Linked DNA regions of Ovis aries. The protein of the gene in region 1 interacts with the protein of each later gene in a biochemical or structural test. Links are inferred from orthologs where the notes say so. Each region holds a gene or a part of one and is shown on either strand. Other genes may lie near its edges.

What was found. The genes of interacting proteins can lie anywhere in the genome.
Region 2: the proteins of RNF40 (region 1) and WAC form a complex in vitro, tested with the Homo sapiens proteins (2 studies listed by BioGRID). The link is inferred for Ovis aries from reciprocal best matches to the Homo sapiens genes RNF40 and WAC.
Region 3: of the proteins of RNF40 (region 1) and histone H2B type 2-E, one has a biochemical effect on the other in vitro, tested with the Homo sapiens proteins (2 studies listed by BioGRID). The link is inferred for Ovis aries from reciprocal best matches to the Homo sapiens genes RNF40 and H2BC21.

What each region holds. Positions count from the first base shown.
Region 1 is NC_056077.1:27,403,519-27,407,018, reverse strand, and holds part of RNF40 (E3 ubiquitin-protein ligase BRE1B), read right to left. Parts: coding exon 3,495-3,500; intron 3,378-3,494; coding exon 3,231-3,377; intron 3,133-3,230; coding exon 3,058-3,132; intron 1,956-3,057; coding exon 1,836-1,955; intron 1,740-1,835; coding exon 1,560-1,739; intron 1,373-1,559; coding exon 1,237-1,372; intron 420-1,236; coding exon 298-419; intron 212-297; coding exon 1-211.
Region 2 is NC_056066.1:35,544,043-35,548,312, forward strand, and holds the start of WAC (WW domain-containing adapter protein with coiled-coil), read right to left. Parts: upstream 2,801-4,270; 5' UTR 2,381-2,800; coding exon 2,340-2,380; intron 2,255-2,339; exon of another isoform or gene 2,133-2,254; intron 1,967-2,132; coding exon 1,929-1,966; intron 421-1,928; coding exon 208-420; intron 1-207.
Region 3 is NC_056054.1:99,992,048-99,996,125, forward strand, and holds the start of histone H2B type 2-E, read right to left. Parts: upstream 2,801-4,078; 5' UTR 2,754-2,800; coding exon of another isoform or gene 2,361-2,753; 5' UTR 2,196-2,360; coding exon of another isoform or gene 1,806-2,195; 5' UTR 1,483-1,805; coding exon 1,102-1,482; 3' UTR 1-1,101. Other genes in the region: histone H2A type 2-C, read left to right, coding at 1,806-2,195; histone H2A type 2-B, read right to left, coding at 2,361-2,753. UniProt on the Homo sapiens protein: Core component of nucleosome. Nucleosomes wrap and compact DNA into chromatin, limiting DNA accessibility to the cellular machineries which require DNA as a template.

The DNA of each region.
Region 1 (3,500 bases):
CTTCCTCGGAGGGCACCAGGTCTTCCTTCTTCGCTGACGAGGTAGTAAGGGCAGCGCCAGGCATGGAAGCCATCTCCTTCCTGGTGTCGGGGGCACCAACAGGGCCTGGCCCACCCTCTTCTTTCCCTGGGACTGGGGCACTGAGGCTGGAGTCCTCTGGGTGGCCCAGGCTGGGGATGGAGTGAGTAGAGCCACTGGCCTGGGCCCGGAGCTGCAAAGCAGAGAGAGAACAGGGCTGAGGTGAGACATGATCACTGGGGCCTAGCCATGGCCGTCCCCAGGCAGCCCGCTCCTCACCTTGGCAATTTCGGCCTGTACTTCGCGCAGTTTCCGCTTGTATCGCTGGGCATCCCCCTTTAGCTGGTGGTTGTGGTTCTGTAGGCTGCTGATCAGGTGGCGCATCTCGCGGTTGATGGGCCCTTGAGGAGCAAAGGAAACCAAGGTCAGACTGGTCCCTGGGTTAGGGGCCCAACCCCTCCGTGAGGGGAGAGGCAGGGCCAGAGCCGTCACTCTCACTACAAAGAAGAAGAAAACTGAAGCCTTATACAGACAGAGTGAGCTCAGCAGATAACTGAAAAAAATTCACTCAAATGTAATCTGATGCTGTGTGTTATTTTTGCTAATGCAGATTTCGCAAATATTTCCAGATTTCCTTCAAAGGAACATATAACTGAAAACTCACAAAAGTAAGTTAGTCCACTTCCTTTAGCTTTTTAAACAAATGTCATCTTCTTAGTTTCATGTCCCTGGCATTTCTCCTAATACCTCCTTATCTTCCCTGCTTGCTTTACTTTTCCTGGTATACTTGTCACTACCCAACATACATGTTCAATTTTCCCTTTGTTGTCTGTCCTCTCTCTCTGTAACATGGCTCCACAACAGCAGGGATTCTTTGTATTTTGTTTGCTGGTATAATCCCAAAGCTTAGAACTGAGCCTGGCTCAAAAGAGGTGTTCAATAAACCTTTGTAAAATGAACTAGTAGAGAGGCACCCTAAAGGCCAGAGAATCATGGATGGGGCTGACAGCTCCTGTTCTGGCAGAGTTGGCACCATCAGCCACCTCAGGCAGCTGTAAACCTCACTGCATCTTTGAGCCATGTGGTGGGGTCCCCATTTTTCACAGAGAGATGAGGCTCTGTGAAAGGAAAGGACCTAACCTCTGGACAAGCATCTGGCCACATCAGAGCCCAGCAATCCCACAAAAGGCCCCACCTCAAACTTGTCCTCGCACATACCCGCCTGCTCATTGGCCGCCAGGTTCTGTTCAAACTCGATGCGCAGCATCTCGTACTCCTTGCGAACCTGGGCCAGCGTGTCCTCCAGCTGTATAACCTCGGTGCGTAGCTTCTTCTGCAGCCCCAGCTCATCACTCTGTGAAGTGAGGCATTAAGGACCCACACAAGCCCTGGGCTCATGGCAAGCCCACCTTCAACCTCAGAGGCTTAGGAAGAATTTATTCCCAAGGGATCTCTGGCAGGCACCCCGGGCTCTGACACACTTGACCCAGGAACAACCTAACCCAGAGGGCCTGACCCTTACCCCTGTTCCACGGGCATACCTCCATGTGCTCAATGTGCCTCAGGTGGGAATTCTTGGTGGCCAGCAGCAGCCCACGGGCCTCATCCAGCTGGGTCTTCACTTGCAGAGACTCATTGTAGAGCAGTGAGAACTGTGCCTGCAGCATCCGGTACTCCCCTGTCTCCCGGACCACCTCCTCGGGAAGGCTCCGCAATGCTACCTAGGGGCAGGATGTCTGAGCTCACTCAGCAAGAGGAAGGAGAGCTCAGCGCCCACCCTACAGGGTAAGGCCTTCCCAGCCCCAAACACAACTCACCTTGAGGCGCTCATTGGTCCGCACGGCCCCCTGAAGTTCGGCCTGCAGCTTCTCTAGCTCTGCCATGCGGCTATTGGCCAATTCCTGATTTTCCTCCAACTCCGCATTCAGCATTTCAAACTGTGGAGTGAGGAGACCAGTGGGAGGCAGGGCCAGGGCATGAGGCGTGCATCCCTCACAGCCTCACCATATACTCTGCCCAAGCTCCCCTATATGGAGCAGTGATGGATTCTGAAGGCTCAAGGACAAACCAGACCCAGGCACTTTCCTAAGTGTTCCCAGTTAGGTAGGAGAAAATGTAATACTGCATGGTCAGTGCTGGGAACCAAGGCTTGTATCTGACAGGGGGTCAGGGAAGCCTTCCTGGAAGACCTGAAGAGCAAGCTGAGAAAAGGAGGACAGGGAACAATGACTTTGCAGCACCGAAAAAAGAAAAACAATGTGCAGCGACAAAAGTGAGAGCAAAAGCAGGACATGGAAGGGGACAGTGGCAGCAAGGCCCTTTTTCAGCTACACAACGAGAATGCCAAATGCCTCCAACACAACCAACACCTCTTTCCTCAGTGGTACTTTTAAGCCCTTGGACAGCAAGGAGATCCAACCAGTCCATCCTAAAAGAAATCAGTGCTGAATATTCTTTGGAAGGACTGATGCTGAAGCTCCAATACTTTGGCCACCTGATGTGAAGAACTGACTCATTTGAAAAGACCCTGATGCTCGGAAAAATTGAAGGCGAGAGGAGAAGGGGACAACAGAGGATGAGATGGTTCGATGGCATCACTGACTCAACAGACATGAGTTTGAATAAACTCCAGGGGTTAATGATGGACAGGGGGGCCTGGTGTGCTGCAGTCTATGGAGTTGCAAAGAGTTGGACACGACTGAGGGATGGGACTGGACTGGACTGGACTCTACTGACTGACCGACTTTTAATCAACTGATATACGATTTACCTACTTCTTGTTAACGCCCCAACTAGAACTTAAGCTCCAAGATAGGTTTCTGTTTTGCTCTCCAAAATAACTACTTTCTACACAGTAGCTAACATTCAGTATTCAACAACTATTTACTGAATACAGATATGAAACAATAAAACAAAGGACACTGTGAGTGACAGGCAAAGACCTCCAAGACCCCAGTTGTCCTTAATTCTAAGGGGGAAGTTCAAGGGTAGAGTAGAGAAAAAGTTGCAGGAGGGACCAGGAAGAATGCTGCTGCTCACCTTCTGCATGCTGAGTGTGATCTGGCCCCCCTGGAAGCCTGAAGAACTCCCAGACACATAGTAGCCAGAGTTGAGCTGTGGAGAGAAGAGATGGACACGTGCGTGTGGAGAAGAGAAGTTAGGGCCCCAAGTACTCTGTTCAGGCTCCATCTGACCCAGCGCCTGAGCCTCACCTGCTCTAAGGCTTCTGCCAGGTGCTTATTAAGTTTTTGCTCTCGCTTCCGCAACTTCTCAATGTCCCACTGCAGGTCCTCTACTGTCGTCTCCATCTCCAGCACTTTGGTCTCTGCAGATGTCACTTTATCTTGGAGCTCAGAGTACTGGGGACAATGAAGGGGACAGAGGCTTAGATGACAGACTTGGCTGAGATCCTTGGGTGTCCAACTAATCCAAACCCTGTCCTGGTTCCAATCCCGCCCCAAAATCCCAACTCCCACCTCCAA
Region 2 (4,270 bases), on another chromosome or scaffold:
AATGCATCCTCTAATTATCACCCACTGGGGTCCAGCTGTAGATTCTGGGGTCAGCATCTTATTTCTACATAATTTGTTTAGGAATCAAAATATTCTGATGACATAAACATTTAGTAACATTTGCAAACTGGAAATATGACTAAAACTTTTTGTCTTACATAGAATTATTATTAATAAATGTAAGTTTCAATAGAAAAAGCTACTCACCACCATCCCTCTCTCTAACTCTGTGAATATGCACATTTTTGGCCTTACTGTGACCTGTGCTGTCACTGTATTTGTTTTCAGGACTATCAGATCTCCGCAACATTTTGTTTGGTGGTGAAGGATCTGCGGCGTCTCGCATTTTTTCATGTCTGTGATCACCACTACTGGGGTGACTCTTCGATGAATACTTAAGTGCCTGTAAAACATCACCCCCCCAAAATAAAAAAGAAATCAAACTTTAATTTCATAAGTCAGTTTTATCATAAAATTTGCTATATTACCTATATTCAGTTTTATAAATTTATAAAATTGAAATTTTCTTTTTGAATTCTGCCTTTAAGTTACTCACACAAGACCTAAACACAAGTTATTGTAAGGCTCATCATACATATCAAAATGTGTTTTTTTTAAAAAACCTTCTATTAATCATCTTGTAAACACAAGAAATCAACACTTTGACAAATTAACTCCTCAAACTTTTCTGCCAGTTAAAAAGTTTAAGTATTCACTGAGTACTACTCTAATGTTTTTGCTCTGCAACTATGCTAGACACAAATACAAATAAGCATAAACATGTTTCTTCGATCTGACCCAAAAAAAGCATCAGAATTCAGAGAATTCTCATCAGAATTTCTCCAATTCTTGGATTCAAGTAAGTAAGGCATTTCAGATCTAGTTTAACTACTCTTGCAGGCATGGGAAACAATTTTAAGGTATAGAAATGTAGGCTCTTATTTCTGACCTATCCTAATGGAACTTAATGGAACTCCCTCAAAAAACATTTAACATATTTAAGACAACCATGATATAGCTGTCTTTTTTAATGCATAATTAACCATGTTTTAGAGTGTGATTCAACAGTTTAATCGTTGACCTATCCAAATGTAATGCACAATGTTTTACCCGTCAAGGAACCTAGATTTTTAACTGGAACTTTAACTCATGCTATCCAGAAACACAACCGTTAGCTTGGAAACCCGCTCTCCTATCCTTTAAGTGGTCAGATGCAGTAAGTATTTACTTCTAGAGTCACCCCACAGTTACAAATTAATGAATTTTCCTCCCCCGGAAAACAGGGGCCAACTCTTTCAAAAAAACTTTTACAATGTTACACGAAGCTGTCACAAAAAGAAAACTATGTACCTAAAACTCCTTTCAGGACAGTGAATTACCCAAGTACTCAAAGATCTCAATTTCTACAAAAAGAAAAGCGCCATCTTTCACTGAAGACAATTATTTCCACCGAAAACAAACTGGGAAGGGGTAATGGTTTACAACACACTTAAAGAGTTGCAAACCCATCAGTGGCTTCTTCCCTGCCCTTCCGTCTAATTCTGATACCTCTGCGTTAACTTTTAGTTTCCCCAAAACAACAAATGAAGGTGATTCCAGAGTTACTGAACACGTTGTCCTACCGAGTCCCGCACACCCGAATAACCGAGTCAGGTCCTTCCTGGACAAGAATCAGTTTTTATTCCCTTCCCCCCACCCTCCCCGCAAAAAGAACTTGAACTTCCTCCCGTCACCTGTCAAAATAAGCCCCCACCCCTCGCCGGCGAGCGCCCCGGGAAGCGAGCGCAGGGTTTCCGGCCCCACCAAGCGGGTTTCGCGTCTGTGGCCCCGAAGGGCCTGCAGCGACCTGTGAAGCCTGCGCTCGAGTAGCGGCTCCTCCCTCCCCCGCCGGCCCCGCCAGCCCCGCAGCCCGCGCCCGCCCCGTGGTACCTGGTAAGGCTGCGCGTCCCCCCGCCGGTCGTGACAGCTGGAAAACAGAAGAAAAGGCCACCTGAGGCCGGAGAACGGGCCCCCAGCGCGGGGCCCGCAGAAAGGCCCCCGCTCCGAATCCCAGCGGCGCTCCGGCCCCAGGCAGCCCGCCCTCCCGCCGCGCGCACACGCTCTCGCTCTCACACCCGCTCACACGCACTCACACGGGCTCCCGCCGGCGAGGGGCCGCCGCCGCCCGCGGCCGTCCACCCCCGACTCCCCCCCCTCCCGCCGCCGCCCGCGCGGCCGCTCCCCCTCCCGGCCGCTCCGGATCAGGGTTAACAACAAAAATGGCGGCGCGGCCGGCCCAGATGAGGAGGAGCGCCCCCCCGCCGCCCGCTCCGCCGCCTCGAAACGAAAAGACGATTTACCCATCACTGAGCCTCTGCTGTTTCCTCGCATACATTACCATCAATGCCCGGCCTGTGAGCGTGTGTCGGGGAGGGGGGAGCGGCCGCGGGAGACGGCGGCGGCGGGCGGGCGCGCAGGCGGCGGGCGGCGCAGGCCCGGCGCGCCCTCGGCGACGCTCAGCACCTCCCCGTCACTGGCGCCGGCGCTCCCGGGCCATCTCCTCAGTCCGCACCACGCTCACGCTCAGCTCAGGCCGGGCAGCGGCGAACCGGGGGGTGGGGGGGAGGGGGCAACACGACGCGTCCTGCTCGCCCCGCGGACAGCGCGACTGCCTCCTCCGCCTTCTCCTCCTCCCGCTCCGCCGCCTCCTCCCCTCCTCCCCCCGCCGCCGCCGCTGGGTCCTTCGCCGCCTCCTCCTCCTGCCGCCGCCGCCGCCGCTGGTGCCGCCGCTGCCGCTCCACCAACTACATCCGGGCAACTCGGCCGCTGCGGCCTTCGGAAACCCTCGGCAGTTTCCGCCGCGCCCCTCCTCTCCCACCCTCGCGCGCGCCGGAACGCCGCCTTCGGCAAACCTCGGCTCGTCGCGGCCCTCCTCTTCCTCCGCGGCCTGGCTCGTCTCCTCGCGACCCGTCCGCTCTTTCCGGTCGCCGCTACCGGTCCGCACGCGCCCTTTCGGCCGCCGCCGTTCCGGCTTAGGGGTAGTCGGGCTCGGGGAGCCGCCCGAGGCTGGTCCCGGGGGCCCCGGGGCGCGCGGGGCGGGGAGCGTCTATGGGAGGAGGCCGGTGGGGCGTGCGAGGAGCCATCGCGGACTAAATAAGGGCGGCTGCGCTGCTGCGCGTGCGCCCGGCGGCGCGGGGGCGGGGGGCGCGCGGAGGAGCGCGCCGGCCGCCGCCCCCGCCCCCGCCCCTGCGGGCTCCGGCCGGGAAGCCCGTGGTTGGGCGGCGGGCGGACGGTGAGCCCAGGTGCTCGTTGCGTGCGCGGCGGCCCGAGCTCCCGCGAGGCCCTCTCCTCGGAACCGGAGCCTCGCTCCCGCCTCAGACCGGCGGCAGACCCAGAACTAGGCCTTCGGCCTCACAGAAGTAAATCATCCCCGGAAGCTCGGGAAAAGGGTAGGTGGTGTTCAGGGTCACCGTGCTTTGTGCCCGAAGCCCGTGCGCCTTCGAAGACCAAGGTGAGGACCCGCGGAGGAAGGGCCAGCGCCGCTGCTTTGAAACACCCGATGAGCCTGCTGATGTAGGGAGACACTCATACTTTCCACCCCAGCCGCGCCCTCCCCACCGTCTCCTTTATTTCTCGTTTTTTTCTCTTTTAGCTCGTCCGCGCTCAGATCCAGTCATCTGGAGTTTGTCGCAGGTGAACTAAGGCCTGGTGGTGGTGGTGGTAGTCGCAGAGTCCTAGCCGACTCTTTGCGACCCCTTGGACTGTAGCCCACCAGGCTCCCCTCTGTCCATGGGATTTTCCAGGCAAGAATACAGAAGTGAATTGCCATTTCCTTCTCTTGGGGATCTTCCCAACCCAGGGATTGAACTTGGAATTGCAGGCGGATTCTTTACCAATTGAGTCACCAGAGAAGCTCCAATAAGACCTGGGAAGTGCTAACGAGTTGCTGCAAATTGAATTTTATAGACTGCTACAGGCACAGTGGCATATTTAGAGGGGAAAATATCCAAGTATACTCCCCAATTAAGCTTTACGTGTGTGTGTATGTTGGTGTGTGTTGGTGATGATTTAGTCCTTAAGTCGTGTCCGGCTCTTTGTGACCTCATGGACTGTAGCCCAGCAGGCGCCTCTGTCCATGGGGTTTTCCAGGCACACGAATACTGGAGTAGGTTGTCATTTCCTTTTCCAGGGGATCTTCCTAACCGAGGGATGGAGCTCAGGTCTCCTGCTTCGCAGGTGGATTCTTTACCAACTGAGCCACCAGGGAAGCCCAAATAAAGGCCTCGGGGGC
Region 3 (4,078 bases), on another chromosome or scaffold:
GAAATGAACCGCACCCATCCATCCATCCATGAAGGCTATTTTTAAAAGAAGAGGGACAGAAAAATGAATTCAATACTAATTCAGTAAGTACTTAACCGTCCACTGTGTGCCAAGCACTGGTTGGCGGGGACGATATAGAGGAAAACCAAACCAATAAAGTTTCCGTTAAGGTCTTGAGGAAAATGGTAAACAAGAAAAAAAAAAAAAAACCAACTATTAATAGCAAAACAATTTCTGACAGCTGCTAGGAAGAAAATAAAATAGTGAGGGACCAGAGGCAGGAAGGAGAGACACAACTTCCCGAAGGTGTCTGAGAGGTGACGTTTGAGACCAGACTAAAATGACTAGTGCCTTCCGGTGACTTGACGCCGAAATATTCCGAGAAAAGAGAATTAAAAGCAAAAATGATCCACAAACCAAGAAATAACAGGAATTTCACAGCGCCAAAGTGAGCGGCGCAAACCAGAACCTATGAATTCCGGAGCGGCGGGAGAGTTTGAATATTCATGTCCAATCAGGGAAAGGCTGAGACCAGGCAGCGCGGGCTCAGTATGAAGTATCCCGAACCGCTGGTGTCCACAGGAAGCCACATCGCAAGGGCCTAATTCGTGATCCGGCACCCACGCAGCTGCCAAACTCGCAATTCTTCAGGGCTGTGATGCAGTGTTCGAAAGACCCGGGCTTGGTCGTGTCCTGGGGTCCTTTCTTAAATGTGGATAGCTGAAATCACTCACTTCGTTTTGGAACACCGGTGACACGTACCCAACAGAGCCACCAGGACACAAGTCTAGGAGCAGTCTCAGTATCCTAATTTAGAACTGACTCATACGAAAGCTAAGCAGCAGTGAGGGTTAAGACGCGCCCTAGATTCAAAAGCAAAGCCAGTCACGCGCCAGGAATCTCAAGTCATAAGGGCTTAAAAAGCTACGTGTGTCATCTTCTATTACTTTTAGCCAACTAGAGTAACTTACTTTGTGAGGAACTGAGGAGAAACAAGTGAACAAGGCTCTTTTCTGGTGATTAGGTGGGTGGCTCTGAAAAGAGCCTTTGGAAAATCAAGCGGCTTTGCGACTCGTGCGAGCGCCGCGTCCCAGCAGGGACTCACTTGGAGCTGGTGTACTTGGTGACCGCCTTGGTGCCCTCGGACACGGCATGCTTGGCCAGCTCGCCAGGCAGCAGCAGGCGCACGGCCGTCTGGATCTCCCGAGACGTGATGGTTGAGCGCTTGTTGTAATGCGCCAAGCGCGACGCTTCGCCCGCGATGCGCTCGAAGATGTCGTTGACAAATGAGTTCATGATGCCCATGGCCTTGGACGAAATACCGGTGTCTGGGTGCACCTGCTTCAGCACCTTGTACACGTAGATGGAATAGCTCTCCTTGCGGCTGCGCTTGCGCTTCTTGCCGTCTTTCTTTTGGGCTTTGGTGACGGCTTTCTTGGAGCCCTTCTTGGGCGCGGGAGCGGATTTTGCCGGCTCAGGCATTGTGAAGCAACGCCGTTTGGCAAAAAAAGAGGTATGAGAATGGGCGGGCCTGATCCATTTATAACCACCGTATGCAAATTAAGGCTCCAAAAGTCTTACATTCCCATTGGTCCGTGGAGAGACCTTACGTTATCAGTAATAGCTACAGAATAACACCGACTCTTAACCTTATTGGCTGTTTCAGGAGCCAATTTGGGACCAATGAAAAGCTCGTTCCTGACCCCACCCCTCAGAAAACTTATAAAGGCTTTCCAATTGCTGATCTTTCTTAAACATTTGCCGAGGGGCTTTGATCTTTAAGGGTACTACTGTTATCTTTAGTCATGTCTGGTCGCGGAAAGCAGGGAGGCAAGGCCCGGGCGAAGGCCAAGTCGCGTTCGTCCCGTGCAGGCTTGCAGTTCCCGGTAGGGCGAGTGCATCGCCTGCTGCGCAAAGGCAACTACGCTGAGCGGGTGGGGGCCGGCGCGCCCGTCTACATGGCGGCGGTTCTGGAGTATCTGACGGCCGAGATCCTGGAGCTTGCCGGCAACGCGGCGCGAGACAACAAAAAGACGCGCATCATTCCTCGTCACCTGCAGCTGGCCATCCGCAACGACGAAGAGCTGAACAAGCTGTTAGGCAAGGTTACCATCGCGCAAGGCGGCGTTTTGCCCAACATCCAGGCCGTTTTATTACCAAAGAAAACCGAAAGCCATAAAGCCAAAAGCAAATAAAGCCTTACAAAGTAAACCAAAGAACAAAGGCTCTTTTTAGAGCCACCCAAGTTTTCAAAAAAAGAGCTAATGCGCTATTTTGTGATCAGCCCTTTATTTTGACACTTTGGTGGTGGCTCTTAAAAGAGCCTTTGGGGTGAGTGGGGATGGTATCAAGCCTCTTAATTACTTATTCTTGCCAGGCTTGTGACTCTCCGTTTTTTTGGGCAATAAGACTGCCTGGATATTGGGTAAGACACCGCCCTGGGCAATAGTGACACCCCCGAGTAACTTGTTGAGCTCTTCATCATTTCTCACGGCCAGTTGCAAATGGCGAGGGATGATGCGCGTCTTCTTGTTGTCTCGGGCGGCGTTGCCCGCCAGCTCCAGGATTTCCGCGGTCAGGTACTCCAGCACTGCCGCCAAGTACACCGGTGCGCCGGCCCCCACCCTTTCGGCGTAGTTCCCTTTGCGCAGCAGGCGGTGCACTCGCCCTACAGGGAACTGAAGGCCAGCGCGGGATGAGCGCGACTTGGCCTTGGCCCGAGCTTTGCCTCCCTGCTTTCCGCGGCCTGACATTACTGCTAAAACTGCAGTTACAGCTTCTTTTTCAAGGAGAACGATATGGCAAGGGTAACCAATTTGATGTAATTTATAAGAGCTACCGGGAGGGGTGAAGGGAAGTGGTTTGATTGGCTAAAAGCGGAGTCCGATCGAACAGCCAATAGGAAAGCGAAGAGCAGACTCTTCGTTTGCATCTTGGGCTACGAGGAAATGACGGCTTCTATAAGTACCTACCAATCGTTGTGAGCCATATTAAAGCCCTTTATTTGCATGCCAGGGTTTTTAAAGTGAAGGCTTTCAAACAAAACGCTCTTCTGTTTTGCTTTATTTACTGAGCGGCAATTTTTTCCTAGGTTACGGGTGGTAGGTTTTTTCCGGTTTCCCAAAAAGGATTTTAAAGGGCTGCAGAGAGCCTTTAGCAGATGCAGTTACTCCCACTCAAGGGCCTTGGAACCTTAAATTACTAAGTTCCTCCTTTTCTGGCTCGTCAAAGCCAGACTACCTTAAAAAATACAAAACTACTGAGGCCTCTTCTTTTCTTTCAATTTAGTTGTTGCCTGCGGTGTGGCTTCGCCCCATCCCCACCCGTCTGTTCCTCAGACTCCGGTTTAATCGAGGGCATTTCCTTCTCAGAGGATCTTCCCGACCCAGAGATCGAATCCGGGGTCTCCAGCATTGCAGGCAGGTGGATTCCTTACGGTCTGAGCCACCAGGGAAGCCCAGAATAGTATGTCATCCTCCTCTTGACCTCTAGGAGGCGTCCCAAACCGCTTTCAACTTGAAGGCGTCTTTCCCTTGGCATTCAAAATGTCGCCCTCCGTCTTTCCTCATTCTGCTGCTTTTCCCCCTGTCCGTGTTTAAATCCCAGTGTTAAGCTCGGCTCTGCCTCCGTATTCGCCCTTTCCGCACACTTCATTCTTCACTCTTCCCGAAGTCGTACCCAATTCAGTGCTTTCATCTAGTATTTGCTGCAGAAGCTCAGGCCTGTATACCTGTTAACTGGATACTTCAACCTGTCTGTCCCTATAACTCGACCTATCCAAAAGCAAACTCATCCAGTCACCTGCCACCACCACCACCCCCCCCCAACTCCCCCCCCCCCCCCCCCCCCCCACCCCCCCCCCCCCCCCCCCCCCCCCCCCCCCCCCCCCCCCCCCCCCGCCAGCTCCCTTCTCTTTGTTCTTTCCCTGAATTGCTCCAACAGTCTGCCCGGTACCTGAGCTAACATCTACAGTTTCCTGCACCTTACAGCATATATTCATGAATATTCCTGAGTATTCATTGGAGGGACTGATGTTGAAGCTGAAAGTCTAATACTTCGGCCGCCTGATGCAAAGAAC